Macaca mulatta: one gene and its partner. The protein of the gene in region 2 binds, or shares a complex with, the protein of the main gene of each other region. Links are inferred from orthologs where the notes say so. Each region holds a gene or a part of one and is shown on either strand. Other genes may lie near its edges.

Region 1 (8,831 bases), on a different chromosome or scaffold from region 2:
TGCTGACCAGTATAGCAACCACTAGCCACAAGTGGCTACTGAGTACTTGAAATGTGGCTAATGTGACTAAGGAAACCAATTTTATTTTATTTTATTTTATTATTTTTTTTTTTTTGAGAAGGAGTCTCGCTCTGTCGCCCAGGCTGGAGTGCAGTAGCCGGATCTCAGCTCACTGCAAGCTCCGCCTCCCAGGTTCCCGCCATTCTCCTGCCTCAGCCTCCTGAGTAGCTGGGACTACAGGCGCCGCCACTTCGCCCGGCTAATTTTTTTGTATTTTTTTAGTAGAGACGGGGTTTCACCGTGTTAGCCAGGATAGTCTCGATCTCCTGACCTCATGATCCGCCCGTCTCGGCCTCCCAAAGTGCTGGGATTACAGGCGTGAGCCACCGCGCCCAGCCCTTATTTTTGAGAGACAAGTCTTGTCGTTACCCAGGCTGCAGTGATCATGGCTCACTGCAGCCTCAACCCCCTGGGTTCAAGCGATCCTCCTGCCTCAGCCTACCAAGTAGTTGGGACCACAGGCATGTGCTACCATGCCTGGCTAATTTTTTATTTTTATTTATTTATTTATTTATTTATTTATTTATTTATTTAATTTTCAGAGTCTCACTCTGTTGTCCAGGCTGGAGTGCCGTGACGCGGACTCATTGAAACCTCGGCCTCCCGGGTTCAAGCAAATCTCCTGCCTCAGACTCCCGAGTAGCTGGGATTATAGGCATGTGCCACCACATTGAGCTAATTTTTGTATTTTTAGTAGAGATGGGGTTTCATCATGTTAGCCATGATTGGCCAGGCTGGTCTCGAACTCCTGACCTCAGGTGATCTGCCCACCTTGGCCTCCCAAAGTGCTGGGATTACAGGCGTGAGCCACAGTGCCCAGCAATTTTTGATTCTTTTTGTAGAGATGAGGTTTCACTATGTTTCCCAGGCTGGTCTTGAACTCTGGGTTGAAGCAATCCTCCTGCCTCGGCCTCTTTTTTTTTTTTTTCCTTTTTTTTTTTTTTTTTTTGAGACGGAGTCTTGCTCTGTGCCCCAGGCTGGAGTGCAGTGGCACGATCTCGGCTCACTGCAAGCTCCGCCCCACCGGGTTCACGCCATTCTCCTGCCTCAGCCTCCCGAGTAGCTGGGACTACAGGCGCCTGCCACCTCGCCCGGCTAATTTTCTTGTATTTTTAGTAGAGACGGGGTTTCACCGTGTTAGCCAGGATGGTCTCGATCTCCTGACCTCGTGATCCGCCCGTCTCGGCCTCCCAAAGTGCTAGGATTACAGGCTTGAGCCACTGCGCCCGGCCTTTTTTTTTCCTTTGAGACAGAATTTCGCTCTGTTGCCCAGGCTAGAGTGCAGTGGCGTGATCTCAGCTCACTGCAAGCTCCGCCTCCCGGGTTCACGCCATTCTCCTGCCTCAGCCTCCCACATAGCTGGGACTACAGGTGCCCGCCACCATGCCCTGCTCATTTTTTTTGTATTTTTAGTAGAGACGGGGTTTCACCGTGTTAGCCAGGATGGTCTCAATCTCCTGACCTTGTGATCAGTCCCCCTTGGCCTCCCAAAGCGCTGGGATTATAGGCGTGAGCCACTGCGCCCAGCCTGCCTTGGCCTCTTAAAGTGTAAGAATTACCAGTGTGAGCCATTGTGCCCCGCCAGAAATACATTTATGTAGCTTGTGGCTATCATACTGGACACTGCAGTTCTGGCATGGTCATGATTTCAGCACTGAATGGGCGTTCTAAGCATGGAAGTTAGGACAAACTTACCTTACAGGTTACAATAGCTCCGACATCTGGCAGTAACTGGGACTCTGTTTCTCTTACTACAGACACCACAGGAAGCTACAGAGGGAAAAAGAAAAAAACTGAAATGTCCTGGCTAACTCTTGGGTCAAAGCATTTGTGTCTTGAGAGTAATATAGGAATGTCTTGGTACACAGGTGAGAGCTGGAGTATGCATTCATTTATAGGCCAGAGCAGAAGGCCTTAGAAATTTTAGGAAATAGGAGGACCAGGGGGCTACAGAATGCTGCTAGAAGATGTAAACCTCTAAACTTCTTTTTTTTTGTTGTCGTTGGAGATGGAGTCTTGCTCTGTTGCCCAGGCTGGAGTGCAGTGGCATATTCTCGGCTCACTGCAAGCTCCACCTCCCGGGTTCATGCCATTCTCCAGCCTCAGCCTCCCAAGTAGCTGAGACTACAGGCACCTGCCACCACGCCCGGCTAATTTTTTTTGTAGTAAATCCCTAAACTTCCAATAAGTTTTCTGGTGATTCTCTCAGAATTTCTTGGTATACAACTATATTGCCTATAATCATTGACAATTTTACTTTTTTTGGTTTTTTTTTGAGATGGAGTTTCACTCTTGTTGCCCAGAGTGGAGTGCAATGGCGCCATCTCGGTTCACTGCAACCTCCACCTCCTGGGTTCAAGTGATTCTCCTGCCTCAGCCTCCCGAGTAGTTGGGATTACAGACGCCTGCCACCATGCTCGGGTAATTTTTTGTATTTTTAGTAGAGATGGGGTTTCACCATGTTGGTCAGACTGGTCTCGAACACCTGACCTCAGGTGATCAACCCACCTTGGCTTCCCAAAGTGCTGGGATTACAGGCGTGAGCCACTACATCTGGCTGACAATTTTACTCTTTCCTCCAAAGTTATACTGCTTCTTTCTGTTTCTTATTTTACTGCACAGGCTGAAATTTCCACAGAAATGTTACAAATAGTAGCTACGCTTGTTTTAAGTGAATACTTGCAGAGTTTTCTCTTTGAGCATGGTATTGGCTGTTGGTATGAGACAGATATTTTGAGCCTCATCTTTTAACAATCTCTCCGTTGCTTACAATGCTTCAGCTCTCCTGGCCTTCTTTCAGTTTCCCCAACTTACTAAATTCTTCCCACTTTCAGATCTCTCTTCAACCTATTCTTTTTGCCAGAATTGCACTCTCTCCACCCACCTGACTCTAACCTACTCTTTAGATGATTCAGCTTCAATGTCACTTCTGCTGACTAGGATGGATTTGCCTGTTACATGTTCTTAAGGTGCCCTGTAATATTCTTTCAAAGCAGCCACCACATGTGTAACCATATGCTTATTTGAGCATTTATTTGTTTACAATTTGTGTCTGTGTCCTTTGATAGCAGAAACCAAGTCAGCGCTGTGCCTGACACATGAAAATACTCAAGTGGTATCTATCAAATGAACAAACTCAGGACTGTTAAGGACATTCCCAACAATGACTGAATAGAAAGCCCCTTGAGTCAGACGGCTTAAGTTACTTACTCAAAGCAGAATCGAGGTCAAGTTAGCCAGAACCTAACGGTTCTAATTCTGAATCCTCTTTCTACTGTGCTCCTTCAAATATTGCTTATATGATCCTGAGCTAATCCTGGATCAATCTCTAAAACTAGAAAAGTAGGTATTACGCATTCAACAAACATTTATTGAGGAGCTGCTTTGTGCTAGATACTGATGGTATGGTGGTAGCACCTGCACTTCGTGGAACTTAGATTTAAGCAAGGGAGAAGTCTAGTGGGAAACATACCTGAGTGTCTAATCATATGCTGACATAAGTGCTTGGAAGAAAAGGGACAGAGTTTTTTTGTAAGTCTTTAACAAAACAAACAAAAACAAAACATCCCACAAAACTCCTTTCCTCAATTAGTGGGTCCAGAAGGGCTTCTCTGAGGTGATAATACAGAAACTAACGGAGGTAGGAATTAAACAGGCCTAAGAAGACAGAAGCGTTCCAGATAGATGGCATGTTACAAAGGCTCTGTAGCAGGAGAAAGCTTGGCACATTACCGACACTGAAAGAAGCTAGTGTGTTACAAATTTTTTTAAAAGGGCAAGCCAAAACTGTGATTATAACTTTTACAAATAGAAAAGACTGTATGATTAGATCGCGTCAGTGAGGTGGAGATAGTGGCACTAGAGGTAAGCCGGAGAGGTAAGCAACATTCATACAGTATACAACGCACTGCTGGGCTGAGCTGGGCTAGGTTACTGAGTTCGCATCTGCTTTTGTCCCAACCTCCCTCCCCGAGGGTCAGCAGCACAACCAAGCGAGATCAACACAACTAGTGTGTGGTGGCTAAGTGCACAACAGCGGCGATACGGCTAGAAGAAACTAAGAGACCAACATTGTACCACTAAGGCTCTAAACACGCGTCCGCAGTGCCCATGCCTAAGGACTGGAACTCAAGGGCAGCCTAAGGGAAAAACAGAGAGAGAGGAGACGGCATGCCGCTTCCTTTACCGCGCCGTTCTCGCTGCTCTTCATCAGGCAGCCGGCAAGCGACGAAAAGATGTAGCCGTGGCGGGTGTAGGTGCCGCTGCCCGGGCTGCCCTCCTCCAAGTTACACAGACGTTCGCCTGCAGAAAAAATGCTGCATCGGTCATGGGCCCCCAGAAACTGCAGGCCGTCCAGGCTTCTTGCTTCGGCCCCTATCCAGGACTCTGTACGGGAAGCGCTCACTTACCGGGAATACAGTATCTCACAGGTGGTGCCATGATTGCCGCTGTCCCAAAAGCCGGATGAAAACGAAATCGATTTCTCATTGGCCAAACCCAGGCACAGTTCCGCAGTAAGATACGCGTCAATTGGTGTTCTTTATCCTTGCGTGTAAACTCCATTTCCCAGGTTACCCCGGGACAAATCCGGGGGCGGAACTTCAGCGCTCCATGCTTGCGCCTGCGCGTGTGGTTGAGGATGGGCTGGCGGCAGGTCCGGGTCCGCTGGGTGGCACTGCAGGCGGCGGGCCATGGTGGTTTGGATTGAGCCGGGCCCGGCCGGGGCGCCGAGTCGGAGAGGGTGGCAGTGAGCGGCGGCAGAGGCTGCGGGGCTCGGTTTGGCTGACTGGGGAGTCGGCAGGCGGCAGGTAAGGGCGAAGCCTCGGCCCTTGCTCCCCATCCTAGTCCCTTTTTCTGGGTCGGGCAATGCCCTGGGGCCTTGTCTTGAGTCCAGGTTCCTGCTCTCTCCTCGCCCTGCCCTGCGGGGCTGCGCCCTCCTCAGCCGGAGCGCACCTTGCGAGCAACCGTTACGTTCAGAGCAGGAAGGAAGGAGGTCAAGCGACCCAACTCGTCTGTTTCACAGATGTGGAACCTCAGATTCAGAGACCGGGTTTGACTTGTCCAAAATCTTCAAGATAGAGCCCAAACTGGAACCCGCGATTTTTGACTTCCAGTCCATCGCAGTTTCACCTCGCGGCTGTCATTGAGAAATAAAACCTTTTCCCGGTTTTTGTTTTGTTTTGTTTTTGAAAAGGAGTCTCGCTCTTTGGCCAGGCTGGAGTGCAGTGGCGCGATCTCTGCGCACTGCAACCTCCGCCTCCTGGCATCAAGCGATTCTCCTGCCTCAGCCTCCCGCGCAGCTGGGACTACAGGCGCGCGCCATCACGCCCAGCTAATTTTTGTATTTTCAGTAGAGACGGGGTTTCACTATGTTGGCCAGGATGGTCTCGATCTCTTGAGCCGCCCGCCTCAGCCTCCCAAAGTGCAGGAATTACAGGTGATTCCTCCCAAAGTGAGCCACCGCGCCCGGCCTTTTCCCGGTTTTTTAACTGTAGCTTCCAGTCCTGCGGTCCGATCCTCTTCGCGGCCTCCCATCCCCACTTAAGTAAGCTTTCTCAGGTTGAAAAAGCCGAACTCTGGTTGTGTGGGCCCGTCATCAAAAGATAAGCAGCCCCAAAATAAAGTTGCTACTTTTTCTTCTCAGCGTGTTACCCCAGAAGGGAGGTCTGCACGTGAATAAAATGCTACTCTTTATTGATGTCTGGTATCTCCTACTTGAGATTGCAAACATCCCGAGAGCAGCGTCCTTGTCCAGATGACATTGCCCACGACTTTGATCTCAGTTCACCTGACTTCTGATGGCTTTGCCGCCTGTCCCTCCCTGTCCCCTCAGTCGACTTTCCCCTTGGGAAACAGATGGTGACTTAGAGCCATGGGAAGAGGGAAGTGCTGTGGCCTGCAATCTCCTCCTGTCTGGTGGCAGACGACCACTATGGCCTGTGACTGTTACTGAGGGATGAGAGTACTCGGGCTTGTGCTTGGGGTGGTAGTAAAGCTGCGCTTTGCTCTGTTTCCTCCCCTGTTCACTGAGATTACCCCCTTCTTCCCTACACACATATTTTTGAATTTTGCTTTACCTCTATTTCCTGAGATGAAAAGTCTGGGCCAGGTGCGGTGGCCCGCCTGTAATCCCAGCACTTTGGGAGGCTGAGGCAGGCGCATCACCTGAGGTTGGGAGTTCGAGACCAGCCTGACTTACATGGAGAAACCCCGTCTGTACTAAAAAAATACAAAATTAGCCGGGCGTGGGGGCGCATGCCTGTAATCCCAGCTACTCAGGAGGCTGAGGCAGGAGAATTGCTTGAACCCAGGAGGCGGAGGTTGTGGTGAGCCCAGATTGTGCCATTGCACTCCAGCCTGGGCAACAAGAGCAAAACTCAGTCTCAAAAAAAAAAAAAAAAAAAAGTTTGTATGTTCAGTTGCAGCCCACTTACTACATATATCAATTTCCTGGCACCCTGTACCCCATTAGCTAATGGAGAGAGGCCCTAGCTTCAGACTTTGTTCACCCAAATCTGTATCTGTGCATCTAGGAGCTTTCTATTTACACGGTTGGGCTGATTTCTGGTTGGGCTTGTTTTCAAAAATGACTTCTAGCTCCTAAGTGCCATGATTTTAATAACAGTTTGTATTTCTCTCTTTATTAATCAGACAGAATGATAGCAGGAGACACTTATTTAGAGTTATCACATTGGCAAGAGTGTCCTTGTTGGTATTTGTAGGACAGATAGACATCTGGCCAGGCTTTCCACTTCTGCATCCCTCCAGGTCATTCGTTCAACAAATATTTGAGTACTTCCATGAGCCAAGTATTGTGCTAAGTGCTTTATAAACATTTCATTTACACTTACCAAATACAGTTTGCCCTTCATACCTGTGAGCTTCACATCGCAGATTCAACCAACCATGGATTGGAAATACTTGGGGGCAGCCGGGGGTGGTGGCTTACGCCTATAATCCCAGCACTTTGGGAGGCCAAGGCAGGCAGATCACCTGAGGTCAGGAGTTTAAGACCAGCCTTGCCAACATTGTGAAACCCTGTCTCTATTAAAAATACAAACATTTGCTGGGGGAGGTGACGGGTGCCTGTAATCCCAGCTACTTGGGAGGCAGAGGCAGGGAGAATTGCTTGAACCCAGGAGACAGAGGTTGCAGTGAGCCGAGATCTTGCCACTGTACTTCAGCCTGGGCAACAGAGCAAGACTTCATCTCAAAAACAAACAAAAAAAGTGTTTATGTGTAGCATTTACTTTGTATTAGGTATTATGAGTAATCTAGAAATGATTTAAAGTATATGGGAGGATATGTATAGGTTATATGCAAATACTATGCCATTTTATTTTATTTATTTATTTATTTTTGAGACGGAGTCTCTCTCTGTCGCCCAGGCTGCAGTGCAGTGGCCAGATCTCAGCTCACTGCAAGCTCCGCCTCCCGGGTTTACGCCATTCTCCTGCCTCAGCCTCCCAAGTAGCTGGGACTACAGGCGCCTGCCACCTCGCCCGGCTAGTTTTTTTGTATTTTGTAGTAGAGACGGGGTTTCACCGTGTTAGCCAGGATGGTCTCGATCTCCTGAGCTCGTGATCCGCCCGTCTCGGCCTCCCAAAGTGCTGGGATTACAGGCTTGAGCCACCGCGCCCGGCCTATGCCATTTTATAACAGATTTGAGCATCCATAGATTTTGGTATCTGAAGGGAGGACTGGAACCAATCCCTCCGCAGATACGGGCGTTGACTGTATCCGTATAGTTACAGAATCAATAAGGGTGAGAGCTGGAAGGGACTTCAGCATTTAATCCCACTCCCTCACTGAATGTGAACACAAGGAGATTGAGTCCCAGCAGGGTTGAATGATTTGTCCGAGGCTACAGAACTGCTTAGGGACAGAATTGAACCCTAAGGAATTGGGTAAATCTAGTCCTTGAGGCAGGCATTTCCTGTAGCGCTCAGGAATTTAGGACGTGGTTGAGAATGATCTGAAAAGTGGAGAACAGAAGTTTTTTTTTTTAAGACTAGAAGAGGTGTGAAGTAGCATATAATTCGAGTTTATTACAAATGAGGAATGCATTGGATTTGCATGCTAATACTACAAAAAGTATTTTGGCAAATAGGAAACTCTCCATTAGCTATAGAAAGGGAATGAACAGCGATGTGGACAGTCCCACAGCCACCTAGATTTGTTGTGGGGTAATCTGTTTTGTCCCACTCTTACATTTGATTGTGGGTATCTACCACTTTAAAAATTCATGCTACAAGCCAAATCATGCCTCCAAACAATAGGGGTGGAAGTTTGAGCTTGAGCTTTTTTTAAAAAAATTTTTTTTGAGACGGAGTCTTACTCTTGTCTCCCAGGCTGGAGTGCACTGGTGTGATCTCGGCTCACTGCAACCTCCACCTCCCGGGTTTACGCCATTCTCCTGCCTCAGGCTCCCAAGTAGCCAGGATTACAGGCATGTGCCACCGTGCCCAGCTATTTTTTTGTATTTTCAGTAGAGACAAAGTTTCACCATGTTGGCCAGGCTGGTCTCTAACTCCTGACCTCAAGTGATCCACCTGCCTCAGCCTCCCAAAGTGTTGGGAGTACAGGCGTGAGCCACCATGCCTGGCCTTTTTTTATCTTTTCTACACTCCCTTTAATTCTTTTAGCTTCCTAGGAGGTGACAGGAACAGACGGTTTATTTATCCTGGTGCTGTGTAGGTCCCTACCGAATTGTGCTTTCTCCTCTGTAGACCTTGTCTGCTGAGTTCGTTTTCGCCTTAGAGCTTACAGGG
Region 2 (9,129 bases):
CCCCTGTCTGAGACCCAGCTGGAAAGCTTGTCTTGGGTTTCAGCCGGGTTTCAGCCAGGTGCAGGGGCTCACGCCTGTAATCCCAGCACTTTGGGAGGCCAAGGCAGGTGGATCACCTGAGGTTGGGAGTTTGAGACCAGCCTGACCAACATGGAGAAACCCTGTCTCTACTTAAAATACAAAAAATTGGCTGGGCGTGGTGGCTCACACCATTAATCCCACCACTTTGGGAGGCTGAGGCACGTGGATTGCGAGGTCAGGAGTTTGAGACCAGCCTGGCCAAGATGGTGAAACTCCGTCTCTACTAAAAATACAAAAATTAGCTGGGCACGGTGGTGAGCGCCTGTAATCCCAGCCACTTGGGAGGCTAAGGCAGGAGAATCACTTGAACCCATGAGGCAGAGGTTGCAGTGAGCCGAGATCGTGCCACTGCGCTCTAGCCTGGGTGACAGAGACTGCATCTCAAAAAATAATATATTAGCCTGGTGTGGTGGCGCGTGCCTGTAATCCCAGCTACTCTGGAGGCTGAGAGAATTGCTTGAACCCGGGAGGCGGAGGTTGCTGAGCTGAGATCGCACCATTGCACTCCAGCCTGGGCAACAAGAGCAAAACTCCATCTCAGAAAAAAAAAAAAAAAAAAAAAAAAAACCACCTTCCTGCGCTCTTCCTGCTGCTGCAGGGTTTCTGGCTGCCGCATGGACCATGCCCCCTGGGGAAGCTGTGGCACACTAACCTTCCTGGAACTGGTAACAGCCTTGTGTGTGGCATTAGAGTACCTGAATATTCCCTGCCCATCCAAAACCACCACCTTTTGCTGGTCTGAGGCAGGCCATGCCCGGCCCACAATGGGGCTGGAGCCCTCCCCCATCTACCCACCCAGCTCTGTGTTCGGTCTGCTGGGCTCAGGAGGGCTTTCACTGCTGCCCAGATCCTGAGTCACACCTGTAATATCTGGGAAAAGAATGGCTACATGTAGACGACTGCTTTCTTTAGCCTGGTGGTTCTGAGTTTCTAGGTCTTAGGTAGAATATAGAGAAGCCCTGAGCTGCTAAAGCTCTGGGGAGGAAATGGAAATCGGGGTGTGGGGGAGACTAGATGTTGAGTAGGTGGCCCCCCTTTCCTAGCCTCCCATGCCTCCGGCCCCTCTGCCACTATCCTGCTTTTGTTTTCCCTACAGGTGAAGAACCACGCTGAAGACCAGGCCAGCCAGGAGGCAGCAGGAACCCCTCCAGCCTCATCAGCTCCTGGCATTCTCGGATAGACAGCTCCTTGCCTTGCGTAGGTTTTGAAAGCCACCTTAGCAACCTGAGATGCCTGATCTGGAGCTGGGGCAATGGAAGTGGACACAGGGCTTGCCAGACAAGCAGAGGGCCAACCTGTAGTGGTGGGTTTAGCTTCTTTAGAGGTTGCATTTCGAGATGATGGTCCTGGGACTGACACGGTTAGGAGGTGGCCTGGGACTGCACCAGGTCGCCATCCTCATGAAGCTGAGGCTCTCTTGCAAGGGGCAGATGACAGCCCATCCCCACCCCACCCCCACCCCCACCCCCACCCCCACCCCCACCCCACCCCTCAGAGGGCACCCTCAGCCTTGTCTGAATGCAGACACAGCTGATCTTCACTCCCCTCCCGATGTACCGCCAGTCAACAGATAGCCAACAGCTCTCCCTGAGTTTCCAATCTCCCTGAAACTGCTGGAATGTTCTCAGTGTGTACCCCACACAGCCCTCTTTGGGCTCCATCTACTCTAGGAAGTCACACTTCAGAATTACATTATGTCCTCTCCCCACTGGTGTGATACTATTTCAGACCTGCTCTAGAAAGACACGTTATGTCAGAAGGGAAAAAATAAAATTTGTATTTTTCCTGGTCAGGGGTTCTGGGTGTGGCCCCAGAAACTCATTCTGGTCCTTGGGCTGACCCAGGCCGGCCCTTCCTAGAGAAGCTGAGTGCAGAGAGGGGACCAGGCCGCCTTCCAAATGGCAGTCACCTAGCTTCCTACCATGCAGTCTTGAGCCCAAACCAGCAGAGCTGGTAGCGACACAGGAAAGACCCCACCTCGTGGTGAGTCAGTCAGGTTGTACCTGGCCTTCCTAGCAGTGCACCTGCCCTCTGCGGTGCTGCTCAGGGTCTTCCTTGTAGGACCAGGGTGCCACTTCTCATCAGCCGTGGAGGCTCGGGTTGTGCCATTCTGCACATGGCCAAGGACAGATGGCTTCTACCCAGAGCAAAACCCTTTTCAGCTACCCAGCACCAAGCCAGGTTGGGGCACGAGGTGCACTCAGCGCACTTCTGGGGCCGTACTTTTTTTCCTGAGACGGAGTCTTGCTCTTGTTGCCCAGGCTGGAGTGCAATGGTGCGATCTCCACTCACCGCAACCTCCACCTCCCGGGTTCAAGCGATTCTCCTGCCTCAGCCTCCCGAGTAGCTAAGATTACAGGCATATGCCACCATTATTAGTGCTGGCTAATTTTGTATTTTTAGTAGAGACGGGGTTTCTCCATGTTGGTCAGGCTGATCTCGAACTTCCGACCTCAGGTGATCTCCCTGCCTTGGCCTCCCAAAGTGCTGGGATTACAGGTGTGAGCCGCCGCGCCCGGCCAACTCTCCCTACTCTCGTCGTATCTCAGCAGTTCCCCTAACTCTGGTTCGTGTGGGTGCAGCTGCTCTCCAAATCACAGCGCTCCCATCAGGCTCTGGAGCTCTTTTCAGCCCGTCTCTCCTGTTCACGTGGGCCTAAGGAACAGAACCCGTTTAAGGCAATGCCGCCGCGACCCTTGACACCTGGGATGCAAGAACAAAAGAGCCTTGCTCTCTTAAATCCCGGACCAAGAAGAACCACACCATAAGACGTTTTTCAAATATAAAAGGGTCTTTCTTTTGGCTCAGACACAGAAGGCACAGTCGTCTTGTCCATCCTCTGAAAAGTCGCCCAGTTATATCGGAGGGGGTCACTGGCTGGCCTGAATGACAGCAGCTCTAGGTACCAGCTTCCAGGTAAGTCCAGCTAAAGTTTCCAACTTGGGAGTCAGGATGCGCTCACAGGTTTCCTCAACTGGGTCGAAGCTAAGAGCCGGCTCAAGTAAAGTTCCTTTAACGAGGTTTGTAAAAACCCTTTCCAACACCACAGCTGTCCGGCGCCTTGGCTCTGCTAGGGCCTACCCAGGTGCTCTCCAGGGCTCCGGCTGCTTATCTCGACGCAGGCTGGAGGCCGACGGCGCGGGTCTTTTCGGGGACGGCGGCAGCACGGTCCTCGGCTTGCGTCCGTCGTTGCTCAGGCTTCTAGTTCAGGGCTGGGCGGCGGCGCCCCTGCGGCGCGCCGCCCGCACCAGGCTCTGCTGCAGCACGGGGTAGAGGCGCTGGCAGCCCTCGAGGCCCAGGCGTACGGCCTCCGCCCAGCTCTCGATCAGGCCGCCCTCGCCGCTGCCCAGCAGCCCGGCCACCTGATTCAGCACAGGCATGAGCGCCACGGTGAGGCCGGCGGCGGCGCGCTCTTCCTCTAGCCGCGTGGGGTCCAGCAGCCAAGTGGGCGCGGGCCCCGGCGCGAGGCTCAGGCCACAGCCCACCACCAGATCGTACATCTCAACGCCCGCGTCGGCCAGGGCGAGCGCGGCGGCGGTGAGCGCGGCGGCCAGGGCCGAGCCGCCGTCCTCCAGCAGCAACGCCGACACCTCGAGTTGCGCGCGCGGGTAGCGGCCCAGGCGCACGGCCGGCTCCAGTGCCTCCTGCAGCGCCAGCGCCAGCTCACGCTCCTCGCCGCCGCCCGGGGGAGCGCGGCGCCGGCGGCCCGCGAAGGGCGCGCGGCGGAAGTCGCACAGCAGGCGACCGCGCAGCGCGGCCGGGGCTTCGCCGCCAGATCCGGCCGGGCCGCCGCCGCGCTCGCCTCCCTCGGCCTGTCGCGGGCCCGACACTGCACACAGCACCTTTGTGCCTCCCGCCTCCAGGTAGGCCGAGCCTTTGGCCTGGCTCAGCAGCCCGGCGCGCGCATACACGGGCCGCAGTCGCGTTGGGTCGCGGGCGGCGGGCGCCTCCTCCTCGTCGGCCGCGTACAGCTGCGGCGGCTGCGACTCTTCAGGGCCGCGGATGCGGCGGTGGTCCCCGGGCATGGCGGCTCCTGGCGTGAGAGCCGCTTCCGCCCAACGCACTGCCGCACCCACTGGTTCTTCCGTTGCTTAAAGACGCGCGCCTGCGTGAGGGTTGTCGGGAGAGTGACGGGCGGCGCTACAGCGCCTGCTGGAGGCTCGGAGGGAGAACGGCCGGCGTCCCTGGCGCCCTGGTCCCACTTGTGCAGGGCTGCCTGATCCATCCCTCCTGCTGGAAGGGAGCGGGAGAGCAGCTCCAAGGCTTCTCTGCTTCCACTAACCCCACCCATCTACTGAATTATGAACGCCTTGCTCCATGTCACCCTATTTGGCCTCAACCTCCACAAACGTTTGAGGCAACCCCAGGGGCTTTTCCCAAAATTTAGGGTTCTGGGGCTGGACTAGGTGAACACTACAGCAGCCAGTATAAGCCACAGCATTTATTCTACAGACAGCAGGGGCCAAGGGCTGTCAAAACAGCGAGCTCCACCTGGGAAGAGGGATAGAGATCATATAGCATTAAGTATTGCACGTGGTCCTTTTATTCTCTGCAGCAAAAAACGATTCGTCCTTGCTGACGCGGAAAGCTCAGGCTGGAAAGCTGTTATCTACAGATGCGAGTGTGGTGATCAACAGCAATGCGGGGGTAGTGGTTCTCGACAGATGGCACTGACGTGGAGGGCTCAGGGCAGAAGTATAAGGGGCGCTGAGTCACAGGACTGCTCGTGAGGGTATTCCAGGTACAGCCGGGGTAGGAGGGGCTCTCAAAAGGTCCCAGGATTCAAATGTTCTTGTAGCAGATCAAGAGCTCCCGGCTGGACGGATGGAGCCAGTAGAAGCCACCTCCTCCCCCGCTCAGTTCTTTACATCCCCGAGGCGCAGCTGGGCGAAGGAAGTGGCCAGCTGCAGCGCCTCCTGCAGGCAGCCAATGTTTTTGCCTGTGGCCTGTGCAGACACATCCTTGCCCCCACCTTTACCGTCCATCAGGCCTGACACCTGCTGTACCCACTCGCTGGCTTTTAAGCCCCGATTGGCTGCATTCTAGAAGAAAGAAAGGGAAGGGGGAAGTCAGGACAGAAAATGGGATTGAGGGAGGAGCCATCACCCACTCCTTTGCCCTGGGTGATACTGCTGGAGGCAGAGACAGACTTTACGGCTAGTGCAGGGGGCAGTCATGGCCCCTGCCAGGACAGGACAGAGTGGCAAAGCCAAGTATCAACCAGACAGATGCAACCAGTGAGGAGGCCTGGGTAAGAGGTACTGGCAAAGGTGACCAACAGGCAGGCAGGAGACAGGCTCTTTTAAATGCAGGTTGTACACACACAGGCCTCAGCAAACAAGCTTAAGACCCAACACTTCCCACTGGTGCAAGGTGGTTCTGACCTGAGGGACTTGACACAGGCAAGTGATCTTGCCAGCCTCGTTGTCCACTGTGAAGAGCATGGCAGACGTCTGAGGGGAGTGTGTCTTGAAGAGCTTCAAGGCTTCATTCAGGGCCTGTGGGGAGGACCTGGCTCAGACCATGGTGCTGGAGCAGGGACCCTCACTAGTGTGAGCAGTTGCAGCCCTCAGAAGGACCGCCACCCACCCCCACCCCTTCCCAGAGCAGATGTAGTCCTCAGGGCCTGGGTGGAGGACCCCAGTGTAGGGCCCTGCCCACACCCTGGCCCAGGTGTGCCTCCCACATGCAGGGAGCTGCTGCTCCTCCCAACCTTAATCCCAGACAGTGGGCCCTTAGGCAACCACTTGGCTCAGAGCCACAGAGGTCACATATCAGCCACCAAAGGGCTGATGTGCCCCAGGGGAGGGGGCCCCGGCCCCTGGGTTGCCTTGGCTGAGGCACCGCTCTCCATCTCCAGGATGACGAGGGGCTGGTTGGGGTTGCTGTCGATAAGCTGCTTTGTCTTCTCTAACACCTGCAAGAAAAAAGTCCAGAAGAGCAGCTCAGACCAAAAGCACAAGCCGCAAACCCCTGGCTGTATCCTGCCGGCCTTTGCCTAGGAAACACTCTGGCCACCGGTGCTGCCCGGACTCACTCGTTTCTGGACATCGGCTTTGCTGGCTCGGTCTAGGTCATCCATGACCTTCTTTAGGGATTTGAGAGTCTCCCGCAATTCGTCCTTCTGCCACTGGGGGATGACTGCAGTGGCCAGGGCCTGGAACGAGAACCAGAAGACCATCTGAATCTGGGCCACAACTTGCTGGGATGTCAGGGTCAAGCCCACCCCACCTGAACCCAAGTCCTCCCTGACTAGTGTCCTGGAAAGGAAAGCAAAAACACAAAGCTGTCTTCTGGCTTTGAGACCAGTCCCTTCTGGAGCAGCTGCGGCAGGTAAAACAAGGAGGGCTAGAGAGAAAGGAACAGTAGAAAGCTGGGCTCCAAGTCAGGCCTAGTCCTTACCAGGCTGGGAACAGCCTGTGATGAGCTTCCTGGCAGCTTAAAATGCAAATAAATGCCAGGCAGGCTTGGAAGCAGGGGGCAGCCTTTTCCCCTTCTCCAAATCCCTCCACCCCAGTGCCCACACATGCTTGGGAAGAGCTCTCCTGCTAGCAGCAATGGGGGCAGCAGGGAACCTCCAGGGTCCAAGGCCAGGATCGATGGGGTCCCTGCTACAAGGCTACAGGACAACAGAAGTCAGCCCAAAGGCCCATTCCACCAAGAACCAGGGACTGACTGACTATAGATTTACTGAAGCCAGGGCATGTCTCATGCGTCAGGCCCTGAGGAGGGAGGGAAGCCACCCCTACCTCTCCAAGGTCAGCGATCTCCCTCTGCACATCCTTGTTTGGAGCAGTCTGGGCCTTCACTTTGGCTTCCATGACAGAGAGAGATTTCTTCAAGCTCTCTGCTTTCCTGAGGGCCTGGGAGGGGACACCCGGTCAACCCCAGGTAGGAGGCCTGAGTCAGCCTCACTATCCTGGGTCTGAGCGGCTGCCCCAGTGGTAGGCCCTGCAGCAACACACCCCAAAAGTGTCTGTGGGGAGCAGGTACTGGCAGCATCAGGCCCCAGCAAGGAGCACAGTGCTCACAGGCCCACTGGCAACGGCTGTACCCAACTCTGACTTGGGGATGATCAAGCTCGAGAATCAGGAACCCCATCACCCAGGAAGTGGCTAACCCTGGGGCTTTAGCACAAGTCAGACACACCAGTTCCCATGACAGAGCACCCATCCTCTACTGCACGGCCTCAAACTAAGCACGCCCCTAGGGGTACATGGATCAGTGCCGGGGGCCCTGAAGCCACAGCGAATCTATGTCTTACACCCTCTTCCACATGGAGATAAGAGGGGGTAGATAGCCAGATTTACATATATTTTAAGACTAAACACAGGAAAGCTAGGAAATCTTCTGTGGTGGCAGGTTTCTTCTGCCAAGCAGGGGTAGGACACTGGGGCAGGGGGAATGGCCCAGTCTCCACTTTCACTCTGACTGCAGCAGCCATGCAGAGCACTGTTTGCTCTATGGATTCGCAGACTGGGCTCCTCTTGCCCTCTTCAGATAAGCCACAAACCAGCCTGACCTGCTCACCTTCTGGGCTTCGGCACCCGTGACAGCCACAATCCTCCGGATACCCTTGGCGATGGCTTCTTCCGTCACAATCACAAAAGCTCCTGCGTGACTTGAGTTCCGCAGGTGCCTGAATAGCAGAAAACAAAGGTCGTGGTGAAAGAGGTCCTTGGCAGCCCTTGGCTGGGGGTCCCACTAGCGGACAAGAGAAGCAGGAATGGGTTGAAAGTCAGGGAAAGCCTGGGCTTGGGAGTGTTCTGACACCGAGCAAGACACCAGCTGACCAAGCCTGAGTGTTCTCAGCTCTCAGATGGGGATGATGCTCCCCACGTAGCTGCTATGAAAATCAAATGAGGCAAACAGCAAAGTCCTTTGTGGTCCCTAATATCCAATACAGTCTTACCATTAGGCTCTACGTGACAGTTTTGGTCCTGTGGTGGAACTTACGCTCTATTTTTGTATTCCTGTTCATTAGGGGACAATTTGAGGACTGCTGTTAAAATCTTACCACAACCCCTTGAACAAATAGGCTTTATTTCAGTTGTTCAGAGAACCTCAAATGCTTATTAATTCATCCTCATTCTTTGACAGTGGTATAAAGATTTTTTTTTTTTTTTTTTTGAGACAGAGTCCTGTTCTGTTGCCCAGGCTGCAGTGCAATGGTGCAGTCGTGGCTCACCACAACCTCTACCTCCCGGGTTCAAGTGATTCTCCTGCCTCAGCCTCCCAAGTAGCTGGGAAACAAGCACCTGCCACCACTCCTAGTTAATTTTTGTATTTTTAGTAGAGACAGGTTTTCACCATGTTGCACAGGCTGGTCTTGAACTCCTGACCTCAAGTGATCCACCTGCCTCAGCCTCCCTAAGTGCTGGGCATGAGGCACCGCACCCAGCCCTTGTATAAAGTTTTTGAAAGCTGTTTCCTGCCCAATTCAGCTGGGCAGAAAAGCCTGTAACTCAATCCCCCAGACCCCTACCCTACTCTGCACATCCCACTTGCTCCCTGCCTGCCAGAGGCCTGCAGGGGACCTTGGACTGTCTCATCCATGACATTAAGAATGTTCTTTTTGGCCGGGCGCGGTGGCTCAAGCCTGTAATCCCAGCACTTTGGGAGGCCGAGACGGGCGGATCACGAGGTCGGGAGATCGAGACCATCCTGGCTAACATGGTGAAACCCGGTCTCTACTAAAAAATACAAAAAACTAGCCGGGCGAGGTGGCGGGCGCCTGTAGTCCCAGCTACTCGGGAGGCTGAGGCAGGAAAATGGCGTCAACTCGGGAGGCGGAGCTTGCAGTGAGCTGAGATCCGGCCACTGCACTCCAGCCTGGGCGGCAGAGCGAGACTCCGTCTCAAAAAAAAAAAAAAAAAAAAAAAAAGAATGTTCTTTTTGGCCCGGTGGCTCACACCTGTAATCTCAGCACTGTGGGAGGCTGAGGTGAGTGGGTAACCTGAGATCAGGAGTTCATGACCAGTCTGAACTCGTGGAGAAACCCTGTCTCTACTAAAAATACAAAATTAGGCCAGGCACAGTGGCTCACAC

The links.
Region 1: EXOSC6 (region 2) and EXOSC1 share a complex: the UniProt entries of both Homo sapiens proteins name them as parts of the RNA exosome core complex. The link is inferred for Macaca mulatta from reciprocal best matches to the Homo sapiens genes EXOSC6 and EXOSC1.

What each region holds. Positions count from the first base shown.
Region 1 is NC_133414.1:109,493,687-109,502,517, forward strand, and holds the start of EXOSC1 (exosome complex component CSL4), read right to left. Parts: upstream 4,525-8,831; 5' UTR 4,501-4,524; coding exon 4,470-4,500; intron 4,363-4,469; coding exon 4,247-4,362; intron 1,831-4,246; coding exon 1,756-1,830; intron 1-1,755. UniProt on the Homo sapiens protein: Non-catalytic component of the RNA exosome complex which has 3'->5' exoribonuclease activity and participates in a multitude of cellular RNA processing and degradation events.
Region 2 is NC_133425.1:69,616,132-69,625,260, reverse strand, and holds EXOSC6 (exosome complex component MTR3), read right to left. Parts: upstream 4,907-9,129; 5' UTR 4,107-4,906; coding exon 3,288-4,106; 3' UTR 1,835-3,287; downstream 1-1,834. Other genes in the region: uncharacterized protein LOC114674302, read left to right, coding at 1,178-1,261; AARS1 (alanine--tRNA ligase, cytoplasmic), read right to left, coding at 4,938-5,123, 5,466-5,579, 5,912-5,998, 6,119-6,238, 6,831-6,944, 7,612-7,720. UniProt on the Homo sapiens protein: Non-catalytic component of the RNA exosome complex which has 3'->5' exoribonuclease activity and participates in a multitude of cellular RNA processing and degradation events.